Oryctolagus cuniculus: one gene and its partner. The protein of the gene in region 1 purifies or fractionates together with the protein of each later gene. This does not show direct contact. Links are inferred from orthologs where the notes say so. Each region holds a gene or a part of one and is shown in the gene's direction. Other genes may lie near its edges.

The links.
Region 2: the proteins of UBE3D (region 1) and DNAAF2 purify together in Homo sapiens (affinity purification with mass spectrometry; 4 studies listed by BioGRID and IntAct, counting the BioPlex papers as one, with this or other methods). This does not show direct contact. The link is inferred for Oryctolagus cuniculus from reciprocal best matches to the Homo sapiens genes UBE3D and DNAAF2.

The regions. Positions count from the first base shown.
Region 1 is NC_091436.1:89,354,861-89,363,143, forward strand, and holds part of UBE3D (E3 ubiquitin-protein ligase E3D), read left to right. Parts: intron 1-5,044; coding exon 5,045-5,238; intron 5,239-8,283. UniProt on the Homo sapiens protein: E3 ubiquitin-protein ligase which accepts ubiquitin from specific E2 ubiquitin-conjugating enzymes, and transfers it to substrates, generally promoting their degradation by the proteasome.
Region 2 is NC_091443.1:26,415,577-26,424,328, forward strand, and holds the start of DNAAF2 (protein kintoun), read left to right. Parts: upstream 1-3,838; 5' UTR 3,839-3,968; coding exon 3,969-5,741; intron 5,742-8,603; coding exon 8,604-8,747; intron 8,748-8,752. UniProt on the Homo sapiens protein: Required for cytoplasmic pre-assembly of axonemal dyneins, thereby playing a central role in motility in cilia and flagella.

The DNA.
Region 1 (8,283 bases):
TATTGCTGGATATAGTGGACACAAAATGTCCTAGTTTGCATTTGTTGATTCCTATGGTGTACATACTTACACTATGGTTGACCTCAGCTTACCAAAGTGAGGTCAGCTGATTTTCAGAATGCCTGGAATGTTAACGGTGGGTTCTCCAGCAGGTGTGTGATCACTGGGTCTTACAGATCACTGAAAGGACTTATATTATATTATATTGCTTGTATTCGGAGTCAGATGTGAAGTCAGTTTAAAGAAATACCTGACAGGATACAAGTGAGCGGTGAAGGAAGCCTCACATACAAAAGGAGACAGTGGCAAAGTCTCAAAGTAGAACCCTGTCCTCAATGACCATTGTGTGGCCCTCAAAGCTGGGAAATCTGTTAGTGCATCTTCAGACTTCATGGACGCTGTGCTGGTGGTCCCCGTGAGTCCTTCAGAGCAGGAGAGTCCTGTCAGCCATGTGTCGCATTTCACGGCCACGTATCAGTGTGTCAGTTTGGAAGAGTTGCACGACCCTGACACTTGTAAAGATTATGGCATGATGATTTTGGAGACTGTCGCTCCTTTTGGGTTTGTCTTACATTCGAAGATTCGGGTTATACATCCTTGGCAGGAATTTCACAGTAATGATGCTGTATTCTGCCCGTTGCGTCCTGTTGGGTGGCATGTGATTTTTTTATGTTCTTGGTTATGTTAACTTTGAGCACCTATGGAAGGGGGTGTGCACCAATCTTCTCCACCTGATAGTTTCTCTTTCTTTGTGATTAAGGAGTATAGATTGGGAAGACAGCTATGTAAATACCCTCTTCCTCATCATAGATTCATTTTATGCATTCATTTATTTACTTCAGTAAAAACATATAGTCCTGGTTTATTTGAGTAGCTACTTTTTTGTGCCAGTTCCACTGCATCTGGCCACAGGAGACCTTTCAAGATGATTTGTATCTTTTTGGATATATCTCTGCCATTGTTTGATTTTTTTTCCTTACTTAGTTGCATAACAAGATGTGCCATGCTCCTCTCATTCTTTTCTTGTTGAATGTAGTCATTTTTTCAGGGAACCCTGGGTTTTTTTTTTTTTTGTTATTGTTGTTTTGGTTGGTTTTTAGTAGAAAATGGCCTTTACTAGCCAAGATCTGGACACTGTGCTCATTACTGTTGGGGTGTTCCTTCCCCAGGAAGTGTGTGTGCGTGTGTGTGTGTGTGAGATGTATGCATGTTTATGTATATGCATATACACATAGGAGTACATACATTTACATTCATTTCTATTATTGTATCTGTTTATATGCAGCCGCTTTGGAAACTGACTTCCAATAGACACATTCCATTCTAGTCCACCATCATGGGATTCCATCCTAGTTTTTCTCTCTTTGTGAATCCATTTTCCCTCAGGGAAAATCCTGGCCTTATTGTGCTCATGGCATTGACTTCCCTGGTCAGTGCCCCACTGGTTAACTAATCTGCTGCTGGCATCCTTTACTGCCCCCTCTCCTGCCACTTATTAGTGACATCTCCATACCCGCTTGGACTCTGTTCATAGACTGAGTATTTGTGTCTTCCTCAAATTTATATATTGAGGCCCTAACCCCTCACTGGGATGGTGTTGGGAGGTGGGGCCTTTGGGAGGTAATTTGGTAATGAGGATGGAGCCCCAATAATGAGACACCTGTGCCTCCTCTGTCTACTGTGTTTGTTGTTTAAGGCCTCTGTTCTAAATCTGTGGATTCAGTCAACCCCAAATCAAAAATACTCAGGAAAAAACTGCATCTTTACTGACCACGTGCAGACTTCTTCTTGTCATTATTCGCTAAAAAGAAAAAAACAAACAAACAAACAAAACACAAAAAACACCTATTTACATAGCATTTACCTTACGTTAGGTAGAGATAATTTTATGCCATTTTACATAAGGCACTTGAGCCCCTGCAGACCTTAGTATCCTTGAGGGAAGTGAGGGGGAGGCTGATTCCTGGAATCAAAAAGATAATACCAGGCAGAATTTGTACCAGAGTGGCGGGTGCTGTGGCATAGTGGGAAAAGCCTCCGCCTGCGGTGCTCGCATCCCATATGAGCTCCAGTTCTAGTCCCAGCTGCTCCTCTTGTGATCCAGCGCTCTGCTATGGCCTGGGAAAGCAGTGGAAGATGGCCCAAGTGCTTGGGCCTCTGCACCTATGTGGGTGACATAGAAGAAGCTCTTGGCTTCAAATCGGCCCAACTCTGGCCGTTGTGGTCATTTGGAGAGTGGACCAGTGGAAGGAAGACCTTTTTCTCTGTCTCTCCCTCTCTCTCTGTAACTCTACCTCTCAAAAAAATAGATAAAATCTTAAAAAAAAAAAAAAAAAAAAAAAAGGCTGGCACTGCGGCTCACTAGGCTAATCCTCCGCCTGTGGCACCGGCACCCCGGGTTCTAGTCCCGGTCAGGGCGCCGGATTCTGTCCCAGTTTCCTCTTCCAGTCCAGCTCTCTGCCATGGCCTGGGAGTGCAGTGGAGGATGGCCCGGTCCCTGGGCCTTGCACCTGCGTGGGAGACCAGGAGAGGCACCTGGCTCCTGGCTTCGGATCAGTGCGGTGTGCTGGATGCAGCGCACCAGCTGCAGTGGCCATTGTGGGGTAAACCAACAGCAAAGGAAGACCTTTCTCTCTGTCTCTCTCTCTCACTATCCACTCTGCCTGTCCAAAAAAAAAAAAAAAAACAAAAAAAACAAAAAAAACAAAAGAATATGTAACGGAGGCCATAAAGTTGTAAAGGGAGAATCTTCAAAAACTGATGGAAATGCATTTAATGAAAAACTATGCATGGATTTAAAATTTTTTTTTGCAATGCAGTAAATGTTTAAAATTCCATTTTCTGTGGACTTTTGAAGTCCCTTGTTTATAGCCCAGAGTGTAAAATATTTACTATCTGGCCTTTTATAGAAAGTTTGTTGACTCCTACTTGTAAAGGTTCATTATTTCATAAACATTATTTCTTTTTTTAAAGATTTTAATTTAAGAAAATTTTAAATTAGTTTTCAGCAGATTGAATATAGTTTGTGGATACAATTCTAAGAACATAATGACATTGCCTTTCTCCCACCCTCCTTTCTTTTTTTAGTTTTTGAGATAACATATTTTAAATTTACATTACAGTAAAAAGGCTTAATGCTTCACTGAATAAGAAGTTTAGAAGTAAAAAGCAAAAAGACTGTAGTTTAGTGAGAATAAAGAGGACGGCTATAAACGGTAATTGAGTGGAAAAATGACCATTTCACCCATATACAGCAAATCTTAAAAGTAATCACAGATCATTAAAACTATAGTAGTATACGTTCTTAACCATTGGTTTTACAAAGATATAAAACAAAGTTTTACAAAACTGTATTTGCAAGAATACTGATACAGGGGGCCGGCGCTGTGGCACAGTGGGTTAACGCCCTGGCCTGAAGCACTGGCATCCCATATGGCTCCGGTTCCAGACCCGGTTGCTCCACTTCCAATCCAGCTCTCAGCTATGGCCTGGGAAACAGTTGAAGATGGCCCAAGTCCTTGGGCCCCAGCGCCCGTGTGGGAGACCTGGAAGAAGCTCCTAGCTTTGTATCAGTGTTGCTCTGGCCATTGCAGCCACTTGGGGAGTGAACCATTTGATGGAAGACCTCTCTCTTTCCTTTCTCTCTGTGTAACTCTGACTTTCAAATAAATAATCTTAAGGAAAAAAAAAGAATACTGATACAGGCATTTCTTTTTTTTAATTTTCTTCCCTTTTTTTTTTTTTAACAAATTTAGCTCCCATAATTTCTTTTTACTTTTAAAAAAGATCTATTTATTTGAAAGGCATAATTATAGAGAGAGAAGGAGAGAGAAAGATCGATCATCCGTCTGCTGGTTCACTACCCAAATGGCTGCCCATTTGGCTACAATGGCTGGGTCTAGAGCAGGCTGAAGCCAGAAGCCTGAAACTCCATCCAGATCTCCCATGTGGGTGGCAGAGGCCCAAGCACTTGGGTCATCCTCCACTGCTTTCCCAGGCACATTAGCAGGGAACTGGATTGGAAGTAGAGCAGCTGAGATTCAAATGGACTCTCACGCAGGATGCTGGCATCACAGGTGGTAGCTTAACCTATCGTGCCACAACGCCAGCCCCAACATCATTTGTTGAAATTGAGCTTTTACATCAGGGGTTTGGGGCTGTCTCCCCTGCAAAAAACACAGGTTCTTGATATTCTTTCTGTTTTGCTAATTAAGTGCAGATCCTTATGCTGTGAAGGAACTAGGCAGAAAGTAGACTTAAGATTCTAAGGCAGTTAAGGCAATTAAGAGGCCTAAGCAGGATTCACATGTGCACACAGTCTCTCCTCTGCCCTTAGGTGACATTCAAGCAGATGGCCTTCTGTCTGCACTTATGTGACACCGAGAGGATGGCCTGCCTGCTGTTTGCACTTAAGAGTGAGACATGATACCTCAGTTGCTAAGCACATTTAGGTGTCATAGAGCCATTTCTATTTATTCCTAACCTCCTTCCATGTTGCTGGCAGTCACTTCTGTATGTCTTCTTTCCTTTCTATACTTTTGACACCTGATGGACAGGGAACATGTTTAACTCTTTACTGACTGTATTGAGTACAGTAGTTTGTGTTTATCATGAATTAGTAAGTCCTTTCACACCTGGTGTTCATACATCACTGTATTTTTATTTTATAAGATTAATTTATTTGAAAAGCTGAGGGGGGCAAGGATTTTTTTTCTACCTTTTGTGTCTCTTAATTCTTATTTTATCAAGCTCGTATATATGAAATAACAGTACTTTGCTGTGATTTATAGATAAGATATGATTTTAATACTTGTATCTGAAGAATAACAAATGTCTCCCAGGGCTTTCACGGGAGTGACAGTGAAGGGTACTCTGGCACTGTCTATATCTAGTCTACATCAGCTTGCTTCATAATGTTAGCTGCTGGTTTCTGGGGCAGTGACTTTAGGGCTTCTCTAGAAGAGGAACAGAAATTTCTCCTCCTTCCATCATGTGGTTTTGGCCAATGAGAAATAATTTGTTTTGGTTTTATTTTTATTACTAGGGAGCCACGAGAAGGGCTGCCCATGGACATTTCCATAACACCTTCCTCACTCCAGATGAGAACGTCTGACGGCTGCACAGACATCGAGCTGCCAGCAGAGGTCAGGCTTGTGCCTTCCTCCTGCCGCGGGCTGCGCTATGTCCCTGGAGAGGGACTGCACCTGCGGCTGCAGGCGTGGGCCGAGTTCAGCACCAGTGAGTAGGATTAGCGCTTCTGTTTCAGCAGTTACTGTTTTGTTATAAATTAAAGGTGATTGGACTTTTCCCAGGTGAAAAAACTGCTTGTTGGCGGCAATGGGAAGGCCTGGGGGGTTCAGAACACCCAGGGCCTATGTCAGCTCTGCCAGTTATCAGCTGTGTGTGACTGAATATGCTCCTTGCTGTTTCTGAGGCTTCATTTTCTCTTTCCTTTAGTGTTTTTATCTTTCCAATTTTAATTTATTAATTTATTTGAAAGATAGGTAGAGAGAGAAATCTCTCATTCGTGGATTCATTCCCCAAACACCCAGCAGAGACTTTACTAGGACACTGCTGGGAGCTGGGAACTCAGTCTGGGTCTTCCGTGTGTGTGGCAGAAATCCAGCTACATGGGCCATCACCTTGCTGCTCCCAGGGTGTGCATTATCAGGAAGCTGCGATCAGAAGTCGAGCCAGCGCTCAAACCCAGACTCTCCCATAGGAGATGCAAATATCCCTGTGATGTCTTTTTTTTTTAAGCATTTATTTATTTTTTAGAGAGAGGGGGGAAGGAGCTTTTCCATCTATTAATTCATTTACCTAAATGCATTTAACAGCCCAGGCTGAGCTGGGCCTGAGCCGGGAGCCAAAAACCCTATTCAAGACTCCAACAGGGATTATATGAAGCCAAGTACTCGGTCCATCATTCACTGCCTTCCAGGCACATTCGCAGGAAGCTAGATTGGAAGCACAGAGCAGCCAGGCGCTTGTACCAGGCGCTCTGATACTGGATGTGAACATCCCAAGATGCTTGGCCACAGTGTCCACCCCCAAGTGGTGCCTTAACCATTGCACCCAGTACCTGCCCCATTGTTTTTAATAGACTATTTTTAGAGCACTTTTAGGTTCATAGCACAATTGAGTGGAAGATACAGAGGTTTCCCATATATTCTCCGTTTTGTTTCTTTAATTGTAAAAGTTCCTTGCTCATAGATGTGATGTGAAGATTAAATTGGATGACAATTTTGTAAGACCTGGTTGATCTTAAAGCATTACATAGAGGCCGGCGCTGCGGCTCACTAGGCTAATCCTCCGCCTTGCGGCGCCGGCACACCGGGTTCTGGTCCCGGTCGGGGCGCCGGATTCTGTCCCGGTTGCCCCTCTTCCAGGCCAGCTCTCTGCTGTGGCCAGGGAGTGCAGTGCAGGATGGCCCAAGGACTTGGGCCCTGCACCCCATGGGATACCAGGATAAGTACCTGGCTCCTGCCATCGGATCAGCGTGGTGCGCTGGCCGCAGCGCACCGGCCGCGGCGGCCATTGGAGGGTGAACCAACGGCAAAGGAAGACCTTTCTCTCTGTCTCTCTCTCTCTCTCACTGTCCACTCTGCCTGTCAAAAAAAAAAAAAAAAAAGAAAGCATTACATAGAAATTCATTGACTCAACAAATATTTTAGCTCATACTGTGTGCCAGGCCTTGGTCCAGGCCTTGGGATCCAGAAGTGAACAAGCTAGGGAAAGTCTCTGTTCTCATGGAGTGAACATTCAAAAGAGTGGGGACAGAAAATGAACAAAATAACTGCATCCTGAAAAAAGTGCAGTGAGGAAACTGAAGCCGAATCCTGGAATAGGAACTGCCTCGGATTTACGGGGAGGGTGAGTGGTTGAGCATCACCTGAGGAGGTGATGCTTAGCCAGAGATGTAAGTGACAGAAATGATCCCCTCCTTGTAGAGGCAGTTCTGATTGGAATGGTACATGTAAAGATCCTGAAGTTGACTTTGATGCATAATTTGATTTTTATTTTTGCTTTACCTGTCATATTTGCAGTACTTTGTGGTTGATTGTATACAAACTCAAATTCTATGTTGACTCAGTAACAGAACAGAATTTTCTTTTTGTAATGCCTCACGATTGAACAAAATTGCTGGTTCCTTTAATCTCTTATAATGTAAGTGACGTGCTTTGGAGGATTGAAGTGTTGTAAAATGGGGAAGCAGAGGTTGTGAAAGACTTATGGGACGTTTACGATCAGAGAGATTTCAGTTCTTCAAGCTGTACCCCGAGACTTTGTTGGTCCTTGTCTGTAATCAGCCTTTCATCTAAGCTGCATAGAACCTGCAGGTGGGGTCAGAGGGTTGTTCTAAAGAGCCATTTAGGAGATGCTGAGCAATGGGAAGAGAAGGTAGAGTGCATGCCATTCGTTTTTTGCTGGAGAGTAATTTTTGCTAAGGTTCTGCATAAATGAACTAGTTTGAGTTGGAATGAGTTGGTTTTAAGAACTAGAGGTAAGCGGCCGGCGCCATGGCTCACTAGGCTAATCCTCCACCTGCGGCGCCTGCACCCCGGGTTCTAGTCCCGGTCGGGGCGCCGGATTCTGTCCCGGTTGCTCCTCTTCCAGTCCAGCTCTCTGCTGTGGCCCAGGAGGGCAGTGGAGGATGGCCCAAGTGCTTGGGCCCTGCACCCCATGGGAGACCAGGACAAGCACCTGGCTCCTGGCTTCAGATCAGTGCGATGTGCCTGCCGGGGGCGGTGGCCATTGGAGGGTGAACCAACGGCAAAAAGGAAGACCTTTCTCTCTGTCTCTCTCTCAAACTATCCACTCTGCCTGTAAAAAAAAAAAAAAAAAAAAAAAAAACAAAAACCAACAACAACAACAAAAAAGAACAACAACAACAACTAGAGGTAAGGAAAAGAGATAGAGATCTTAAAAGGCAGTGAACTTAAGGACAACAGTTGGAGTAATCGTAGAAAGGATGGGGTCACTGAGATGGAGATAGACTAGCAGACTCCTGAGTGTATGGATCATGGAGGAGGTTGTTTTGGGGCTGAGGCTGCAGGAGAGTGGATCTTGTGATGCCATTGTCTTCGCCTTTAGCAATGAGCAAGAATAACCACAGCAGGAATTTTGGGTTGAATCTAGAAACTGGGGGAAAAGCAAGCGTGAAAGCCACAGTGAGGCGTTTCTAGTTTCCCTGGGATTGTGATTTCAGGGATGGAGAAATGAAGACCTCCAGGGACGTGTATTAGGTTGTTGACTACCTACATTTTGAAACTGAATACACGA
Region 2 (8,752 bases), on another chromosome or scaffold:
CACCTGAGTAAAAGTGGCAGGAGCCAGAACCAGTGCTGTCTAGAAATGAAAAGGAAGCTGCAGTCTGAAAGGTGGGGCAGCAGAGGAAGGCGGTGAAAGGCGTCCTGGGCTTCTGTTTGGGGAAGGACACAGACGGTGCCAAGGTCGGATTCTTGGCTGCTGTTCCTGACACCAGCTTCCTATTAATACAGACTCTTAGAAGCAGCGGGAATGGCACCCACATGGAAAATCTGGATTGAGTGCCCAGCTCCTGACTCCAGCCTTGGAAAGAGACATTTGGAGAGTGAACCAGCAAACGGGACACACTAAAAAACATCTTTGAGGAAAAAGAGATCCCCACCCCAGTTCCCTCATTTCCTCCCAATCACAATACCCATGGTCCCCGCAAAGGGCCATCACAAGACTGTCATTCTCTTTTTCTGTTTAAGAAAATTATTAGTAGGTATTACTTTAAAACTTGACAAACCAGTTGTATAGCCTGTTTTTTTTTTTTTTTTTTTTTTTTACGATTTCTTTTTTTTTAAAGGATTTATTTATTTATTTGAAAGTCAGAGTTACGCAGAGAGAGGAGAGGCAGAGAGAGAGAGTGGTCTTCCATCAGATGGTTCACTTCCCAATTGGCCGCAACAGCCCCAGCTGCCCAATCCAAAGCCAGGAGTCAGAAGCTTCTTCCGGGTCTCCCACACAGGAGCAGGGGCCCAAGGATTTGGGCAATCTTCTACTGCTTTCCCAGGCCATAGCAGAGAGCTGGATTGGAAGTGGAACAGCAGAGACTTGAACCGGTGCCCATATGGGATGCCGGCACTGTAGGCGGCAGCTTTACCCACTATGCACAGCCCCGGCCCCAGTACAGCCTGGTTTTAAGCAGAGTTATTTAGCCAAGTTTTGCCTATTATACAGTGGTGTCATAACATATGCATTGTTTCACCATTTTCTTTTCTTTTTAAAAAAGATTGACTTGGCCGGCACCGCGGCTCACTAGGCTAATCCTCCGCCTGTGGCGCCAGCACCCCGGGTTCTAGTTCCACTGGATTCTGTCCTGGTTGCTCCTCTTCCAGTCCAGCTCTCTGGTGTGGCCCTGGAGTACAGTGGAGGATACTCCAGGTCCTTGGGCCCTGCACCCGCAGGGCAGACCAGGAGGAAGCACCTGGCTCCTGGCTTTGGAGCGGCGCAGCGCACCGGCTATAGCAGCCACTTGGGGGGGGGTGAACCAATGAAAAAAGGAAGACCTTTCTCCCTGTCTCTCTCTCTCTTACTGTCCACTCTGCCTGTCAAAAAAAAAAAAAAAAAAAAAAAAAAAAAAAAAAAAAAAGTTGACTTATTTATTCCAAAGGCTGAATTACAGAGAGGGAGAGATAAAAACAGATCTTTCAAATAAAAATAAATAAATAAATAAATAATAAATTAAAAAACCCAGATCTTTCATCTGCTGTTTCACTCCCCAAATTGCTCCAATAGCAGAGGCTGGGTCAGATCTCTCTCTGCCTCTTTAACTCTGCCTTCCAAATGAATAAATCTTAGATAAATAATCTTCCTATAAAAAGATAGCGTTATGCATATCTTTAGACTTCCAGCAGTAACAGCTCTTCCCAAGTGGGCCAGCTGCTTCATATCCTCAAGGGACAATGATTTTATGTTCTGCTGCAGCGTGGGGAACACTGACTTAGTGATAACCTAGATAGTAAGTGCAGAAATGTGGAATAATTATCTAACAAAAGGACTTGACATGGATGGCATTTAAAGGTGTGGGCTCAGATAACATCGTAAAAGGAAGTGATTAGATGAGAGGGTGCTGGACAGAGCCTTGAGTGATCCGCACACTTAGAGAACTGGCAGAACTGCTACAAAGCCGGAACAGGGGAGCTTGGCATTCTGTAAGCCAAGAGAAAAATAGGCGTGAAGCCCAGGACGGTCTCCTGCTTTGAATGCTGCCAAGAGATCATATGCAAGACAGGGATTTGGAAAAGGAGAGAAGTCAGGAGTTCTGGTTTTGGTTGTTTCGAGCTTGAGAGACAATGAGTAATTATTCAATGAGATGTCAAATGGGCAGCTGGGTACAGGAGTCTGAAACCCAGAACCCGAAGTATGGGGTCGCCGTTGTGGTATAGCAGGTTAAGCCACCGCCTGCAGTGCTGGCATCCCATATTGGCATCTGGTGGAATCCTGGTGGGCTCCACTCCACTTCTGATCCAGCTCCCTGATGTGCCTGGGAAAGACGGCCCAAGCACTTGGGCTCCTGCACCCAGGTGGGAGACCCAGAAGAAGCCTCTGGCTCCTAGTTTTGGCCTGGCCCAGCCCTATCCATTGGAGCCATTTGGGGAGTGAACCCGCAGATGGAATATCTCTGTCTCTACCTCTCTCTCTGTAATTCTTTCAAATAAATAAAAAACAAGTCTAGAAAGAAGGACCTGAAGCACAAGTTTGGTATTCGTGAGTGTAAGCAATGTGAAGGGAGAATGTGGATGGAGCCCCGGAGACTGAACAGAGGCAGACGGCAGGGCAGAGTAAGAGCGAGCGCTGAGAAGGCAGGGGAGGAACCTGGGGAGACCGCCTCACTGGGGAGCGGCAGCACCGGCTGTGCTAAGTACTGCTGAAAGCAGACGATCACTAGATTCACTACTAATTCTTTTTATTTTTTTGACAGGCAGAGTGGACAGTGAGAGAGAGAGAGAGACAGAGAGAAAGGTCTTCCTTTGCCGTTGGTTCACCCTCCAATGGCCGGCCGCGGCTGGCGCGCTGTGGCCGGTGCACCACGCTGATCCGATGGCAGGAGCCAGGTGCTTCTCCTGGTCTCCCATGGGGTGCAGGGCCCAAGCACTTGGCCATCCTCCACTGCACCCCCTGGCCACAGCAGAGAGCTGGCCTGGAAGAGGGGCAACCGGGACTAGAATCCGGTGTGCCCGCGCCGCAAGGTGGAAGATTAGCCTATTGAGCTGCGGCGCCGGACTAATACTAATTCTTAAATAACTACCCCAGTCAATAAATATACTTCTATGAGATCCCTTCAAATGCATAAAATTCCATCGTATGGCAGCAGTAAAATTAGCTCCATTGTTTCCACTGTAGATTCTTCCTAAACCTTTAGGGTAAATGCTATTGAGGCCGGCGCAGTGGGTTAACGCCCTGGCCTGCAGTGCTGGCATCCCATATGGGCACTGGTTCCAGACCCAGCTGCTCTACTTACGATCCAACTCTCTGTTATGGCCTGGGAAAGCAGTACAAGATGGTCCAAGTCCTTGGGCCCCTGCACCCATGTGGGAGACCCGGAGGAGGCTCCTGGCTTCAGATCAGTGCAGCTCTGGCCGTTGCGGCCAATTGGAGAGTGAACCATGGGATGGAAGACTCTCTTTGCCTCTCCTCTTTCTGTGTAACTCTTTCAAATAAATCAATCTTAAAAACAAACAAACAAACAAACAAACTAAATGGTATTGCCTTGAACACACTCTGCCAGGACTAAGTCAAATACTCTGAGATTATCTGAGTCAACACAAAAGTGCAGGCATTTAAAGTCTACTCCCACTCTGAGGAAACACAATTTTTAAAAAACCTGCTATTTTGATAGGAAACTACATATCACCTACGGAGTAAGTAATATTTAGGGAATTATTTATAATTCTATGGGAAGTTCATCTTACAGCGTTATGAGTGGGACAACACACATAGTGCTGGAAATCACGGCCTGCAGAAGAAAATGCACTGTGGGACAGGACTCCAGAAAACACAGCCAGGAGGGTGGCCGGCAGGTGTGAAGGCAGCAGCGGCTCCGGCTGGCCTTTCCTCGGCGCCTAGCTCATTCCTGCCCCTCCCCCGGGCGGCGGAGCTGTCGCCATGGCAACAGGCACGCGCGGCCTCCAGCCGTTACCCGCCGCTGCTGCCCAGGGCTCCGCGCACTGCACTCGGCGGCGCGTCTGCCCGGCCGGGCCCTCATCTGGCTTGGCCCGGAGGGTGAGGAGCCGCGGGGCAGCAGCATGGCCAAAGGGGCAGCCTCCTCGCGGCTGGAGGACTTGGACCTGAGCGGAGAGGAGGTCCAGAGGCTCACCTCCGCCTTCCAGGACCCCGAGTTCCGGCGAATGTTCTCCGAGTACGCCGAGCAGCTCAACGACCCGGAGAACCGGCGGCTCTACGAGGCGGAGATCACCGCGCTCGAGCGGGAGCGCGGCGTGGACGTGCGGTTCGTGCACCCGGAGCCGGGCCACGTGCTGCGCACCAGCCTGGACGGGACGCGGCGCTGCTTCGTGAACGTGTGCTGCAACGCGCTGGTGGGCGCGCCCAGCTGCCGGCCCGGTTCCGACCGGGGGGCGCCCGGCAGCCACTGGATCCTGCCCTACAGCCTGGCGCCGGCCCGCGAGTACGCGGGGCGCAGCGGCAGCCGCTACACCGTCTACGACGTGGTCTTTCACCCCGACGCGCTGGCGCTGGCGCGGCGCCACGAGCGCCTCCGCCACATGCTGGACGACACGGCCCTGGAGGCCGTGCAGAAGCAGTTCGGCGTCAGGCTGGACCGCAGGAACGCCAAGACCCTGAAGGTCAAGTACAAGGGGACCCCGGAGGCCGCCGTCCTGCGCACGCCCCTGCCCGGCGGCGCCCCGGCCCGGCCCGAGGGGGATCCAGACGACCCCCTCCTGGCCTTCCCCTACCCCTACAGCTACCCGGCCGCTTCCGGAAGCTCCGCCGGCCCTCGGCCCCGGGCGCCGTCCCCGCCGGAGCCGGCCCCGCCGCCCGCGCCCACCGAGCCCCGCTACAGCGTGGTGCAGCGCCACCACGTGGACCTCCAGGACTACCGCTGCTCCCGGGACTCGGCCCCGAGCCCCGTGCCCCGCGAGCTGGTGGTCACCATCGAGCTGCCGCTGTTGCGCTCGGCCGAGCAGGCGGCGCTGGAGGTGACGGGCAAGCTGCTGTGCCTGGACTCGCGGAAGCCTGACTACCGGCTGCGGCTCTCGCTCCCGTACCCGGTGGACGACAGCCGCGGCCACGCGCAGTTCCACAAGGCGCGACGGCAGCTGGTGGTCACGCTGCCCGTGGTGCCGGCCGCCACCGCCGCGCCGGAAGAGAGCCCCGGCCGGGCCGGAACTGACGACGCGACCCGCGCCTCGGAGGAAGAGGAGGAGGAAGAGGAGGAGGCGGGACTGGCCGGGGGTCTCGCGGTGGGGAACGGAGCCCCGGATTCCGGCCGAACCGCGGCCGATAGGGTCCCCGCCGCAGGTGGCCCCGAGGTGGCACCTCCGCCGGCTGGCGCTGGAGAGGAGCGGGACTTTGACGGGGTCGCGGGGTCGCCGCCGCCTCCTGGGGACGGGGACGGAGACCCCTCTGGTCCCTCAGCGCTGGGCCTCGACGGGCAGCCTCCCGCCGGAGGAGGGGGCGTGCGCCGGCCGGGCTCGGGCCGCGAGCCCGGGGACCCGGCCATGGGCGGTGGTCCCTGCCCCGAGAGGAGGGGACCTGTGTGTCCCCCCTTGCAGTGTAACCAGGATGAGGAAACCCTGACCCTGCTCATTGGCGTGCCGCGCATCCAGCCGCAAAGCCTTCGAGGGGACGTGAGCCCCCTCGGGTACCACGTGTGCTTCTCCGCGCAGGACTCGGCTTACGCCTTCCTTCTGCAGTTTGCGCCCGAGAATAAGCTGAGCACCAGAGAGCCCGTGATTAGTATTTCCTCAGACAATGCCGTGATAGAACTGGCCAAATCTCCGGGGAGCTATGGACACTGGAAGCAGTGGTTTTACGGCTTAAACGACGCATCTTTGGAGGTAACAGTTCTTTTTAGAGTCTTAAGGTTTGACATATTTCATGCCACTTTTAAAGTGTCCTGTTAGGCACCCTCTCAATATATTCTAAACAAAGTAAAGCCACCCTTAATTTTTCTGTAAATACTAGAAATTGGTATGCACGTTGAAAGCTAGTGCACAGTCAGCATTTTTAAGAAGTGGCGCATGGATTTCCGGTCCTCGACGTGTGCGCACTGCCCTCCTGGGTCCCCCGCCTGCGAAGCGGAGGGCAGGGGTGGCCAGCAGCGGAGGGTGCCTGCTTCTGGGCAGAAGGGCTGTGACTCTAGTCGTATTTCCCCAGGCGTTTATGACCACATTGGAAGTGCTTAAAGCACTTTTTCCCAACTTAGAAAGGCAGTAATAACAGCAGCTGACGTCCAGAGAGGTCACGGACCTCCGCCAGTGTCACACAGCTTTTATGTGGGAAAACGAAGTTGTGACTCTAAATCGCATCTCCGTCCCGAGTGTAGGGTTGTGCTTCTTCGTCTGTCGGTTGTAATCATTCTCTGGTCCCTGCTGGTCAGCGAACACACGGCCGGTACTGAACGAAGTCGGGTAGTTGTGGAGCTCGACATCCCCTCCGCTAGCTGCCCTCTTCCTGGGCAAAGGCTTTTAGAACTGGGCCGAGCGTTGCCCGGCCTACTCAGCAGAGTAACTGGGAAGGAATAACTTCATATGTTCTCTGGTAGTTTGATACTTCTTAGGCTACTGAGGTTCTTGAATTTTAGATTCAGCACAAGTATTGGCAAATATTGAAAAAACCTACTTAAAATTTGAAGTTCTAAAGAGTTTAAAATCATAAATGAACAGTTGATAGCTTTGTATGGAAGTTACATGTAGATTGTTAACCTCTTTTAACATATTCTAGAGTCATGTTCCAGAAACAACACTAATTACACACATTATATAATAAAAATTATTTGACCATGGCTTTATACTGAAACTTTTACTTTTCCTGTTGTTTTTCTAGAAATTTGCTAGTCGGTTACACCTGTATTTTATGAGCTGGGTGTCTCTTTGAGAAGTGATTAATTTGAAACCCTCCAAAAATGGTAAAATAGGCTAAGTAAGCTACTTTATGAGACTGAGTACGTTTATGTTATCAGAAGGAGGAAATTTAGGAAACAGCAGTCGTTTTCCTGTCATTGTTTTTATAAGTGTGAAAGTAACTCTCAGTGTGGGAAGAAAACTTTATGGACAGCAGTTCCTGTTTTATAATTTATTTCAATAAGATTTTCTAGTATGCTAACATTTAGGCCAAGAAACTAGAGCAAAATAGGACAACTTTTTATCTTTGAAGTCTGAAATTAATAATTATGTAATTATAATATTTGCTAGGGTTGATGGAATTATGATGTATTCTTTTGCTTTCCATGGTACTGGACCAGGTGTGAGTATTAAAGCAAATTTTTAAAAAGCATTATAGTGAGGTATATATCATGAATATATCATCATGTGCATTATATGAAAAGAACCGCTATGTAAAGAGACTTTTTTAACTATCAAGGTCAAATTTGCTTTATGCACAAAAAATACTAAATGTTTATTTAACCCTTCAATATTCACTGGGAATTCTCCCAGAGCCTCAGAGACCACGTGTTATTTTACTGTAAAACTGAAATCAGTTATTAGAATGACAAGGTAAGTATATACAGATCTTTTAATCATAACCGTTTCCATTACAGATTTCGGATTTACTAAAAGTTAAAATAGTTGGTGTGCTTCTGGCAGTGAGACAGTGCTGAGGGCTGAGTATATTTTCCCAAGACATGGACAGTAGAAAAGCTATAGAGGTGTTTTTCTGTTGTAGAGGTTCATTTAAAAACAAAAAAAAAGATTTATTTTATTTATTTGAAAGACAGAGTTACAGAGAGAGGTAGAGAGAGAGAGGTCTTCCATCTGCTGGCTCACTCCCCGGATGGCCGCAGTGGCCGGAGCTGCGCCGATCCAAAGCCAGGTTCACTTTTGTTTGGTGCTTACAAGGTCAAATACTGTTGAACAGAAGACTTGAAACTTGTCTTTGTTTTTTTTTTTCCCATTTGGGCCAAATAATTAGCTGTTTATTTTGTAATTATAAAAGTTGTATATAAAAGGTGTATAGGAAGATTATTTGGAGCAACAATGAACTGATTTTAAGTAATTTTAAATATGATTAATATGATTACTCCTCCCAACACCTAATATACTTACTCATTTGTCATGAATATAAACAGAATGCTTTGTGTTTGGGATTCAGGTGAAAGAGTGATATTTGCATTTTCTAACAGCTTTGAAATCTTTCCATGTCAGCATCTACCTGATTCTTATATATTAGTGTCACTGTGGACTATCTCAGTTCTTAGAAATAAAATGCACTTTTTCTAAATAAATTACAGTTGGCCCTTACCTAAGAACTAAGAGGTAAACTGGTCACACAAAATCTGAGTAGATCCTGTTACATATATTTCTTAGCTGACTCAAGAAGTGCTCTAGAACTGAAATACATTTATAGTTGGGATTCCATTTATTTCCTTAGAAGTGATGTTACTCTTAAGAAAAAAAGGAAAAGAGAAAAAAGGAAAAACAAATATCATTTGTATGTAGTATTTTCTGGAAGAAAAAACATACCTGAGATGTAATAGACCTAGAAAAAGTACTAAGGGTTTTTCTTTTTAGGTACACTTGGTACAACCCCTACTGCTCTGTACAATGCTCAATTTTCTTTCTCCAAAACAGCACATGAAAATACCTTAAAATATTTTAAAAAGTATAACCCATAACTTTATGAGAGTTTTTGTGAATTGTTTTTAGGCACACTGCATTGAATCCAACTTTTAAGGAAGGTTATCTTTTTTTTATTTTTAGGAAAGGTTGTTTGTCAATGAAGAAAATGTTGATGAGTTTCTTGAAGAGGTTCTGAGCAGTCCAGTGGGACAGACAGTGCCACCAAACCCACCATTAATTGAAGTCCTTCAAGTTAATGATAAAAAGATTCAAATTCACGCAGAGGTAAG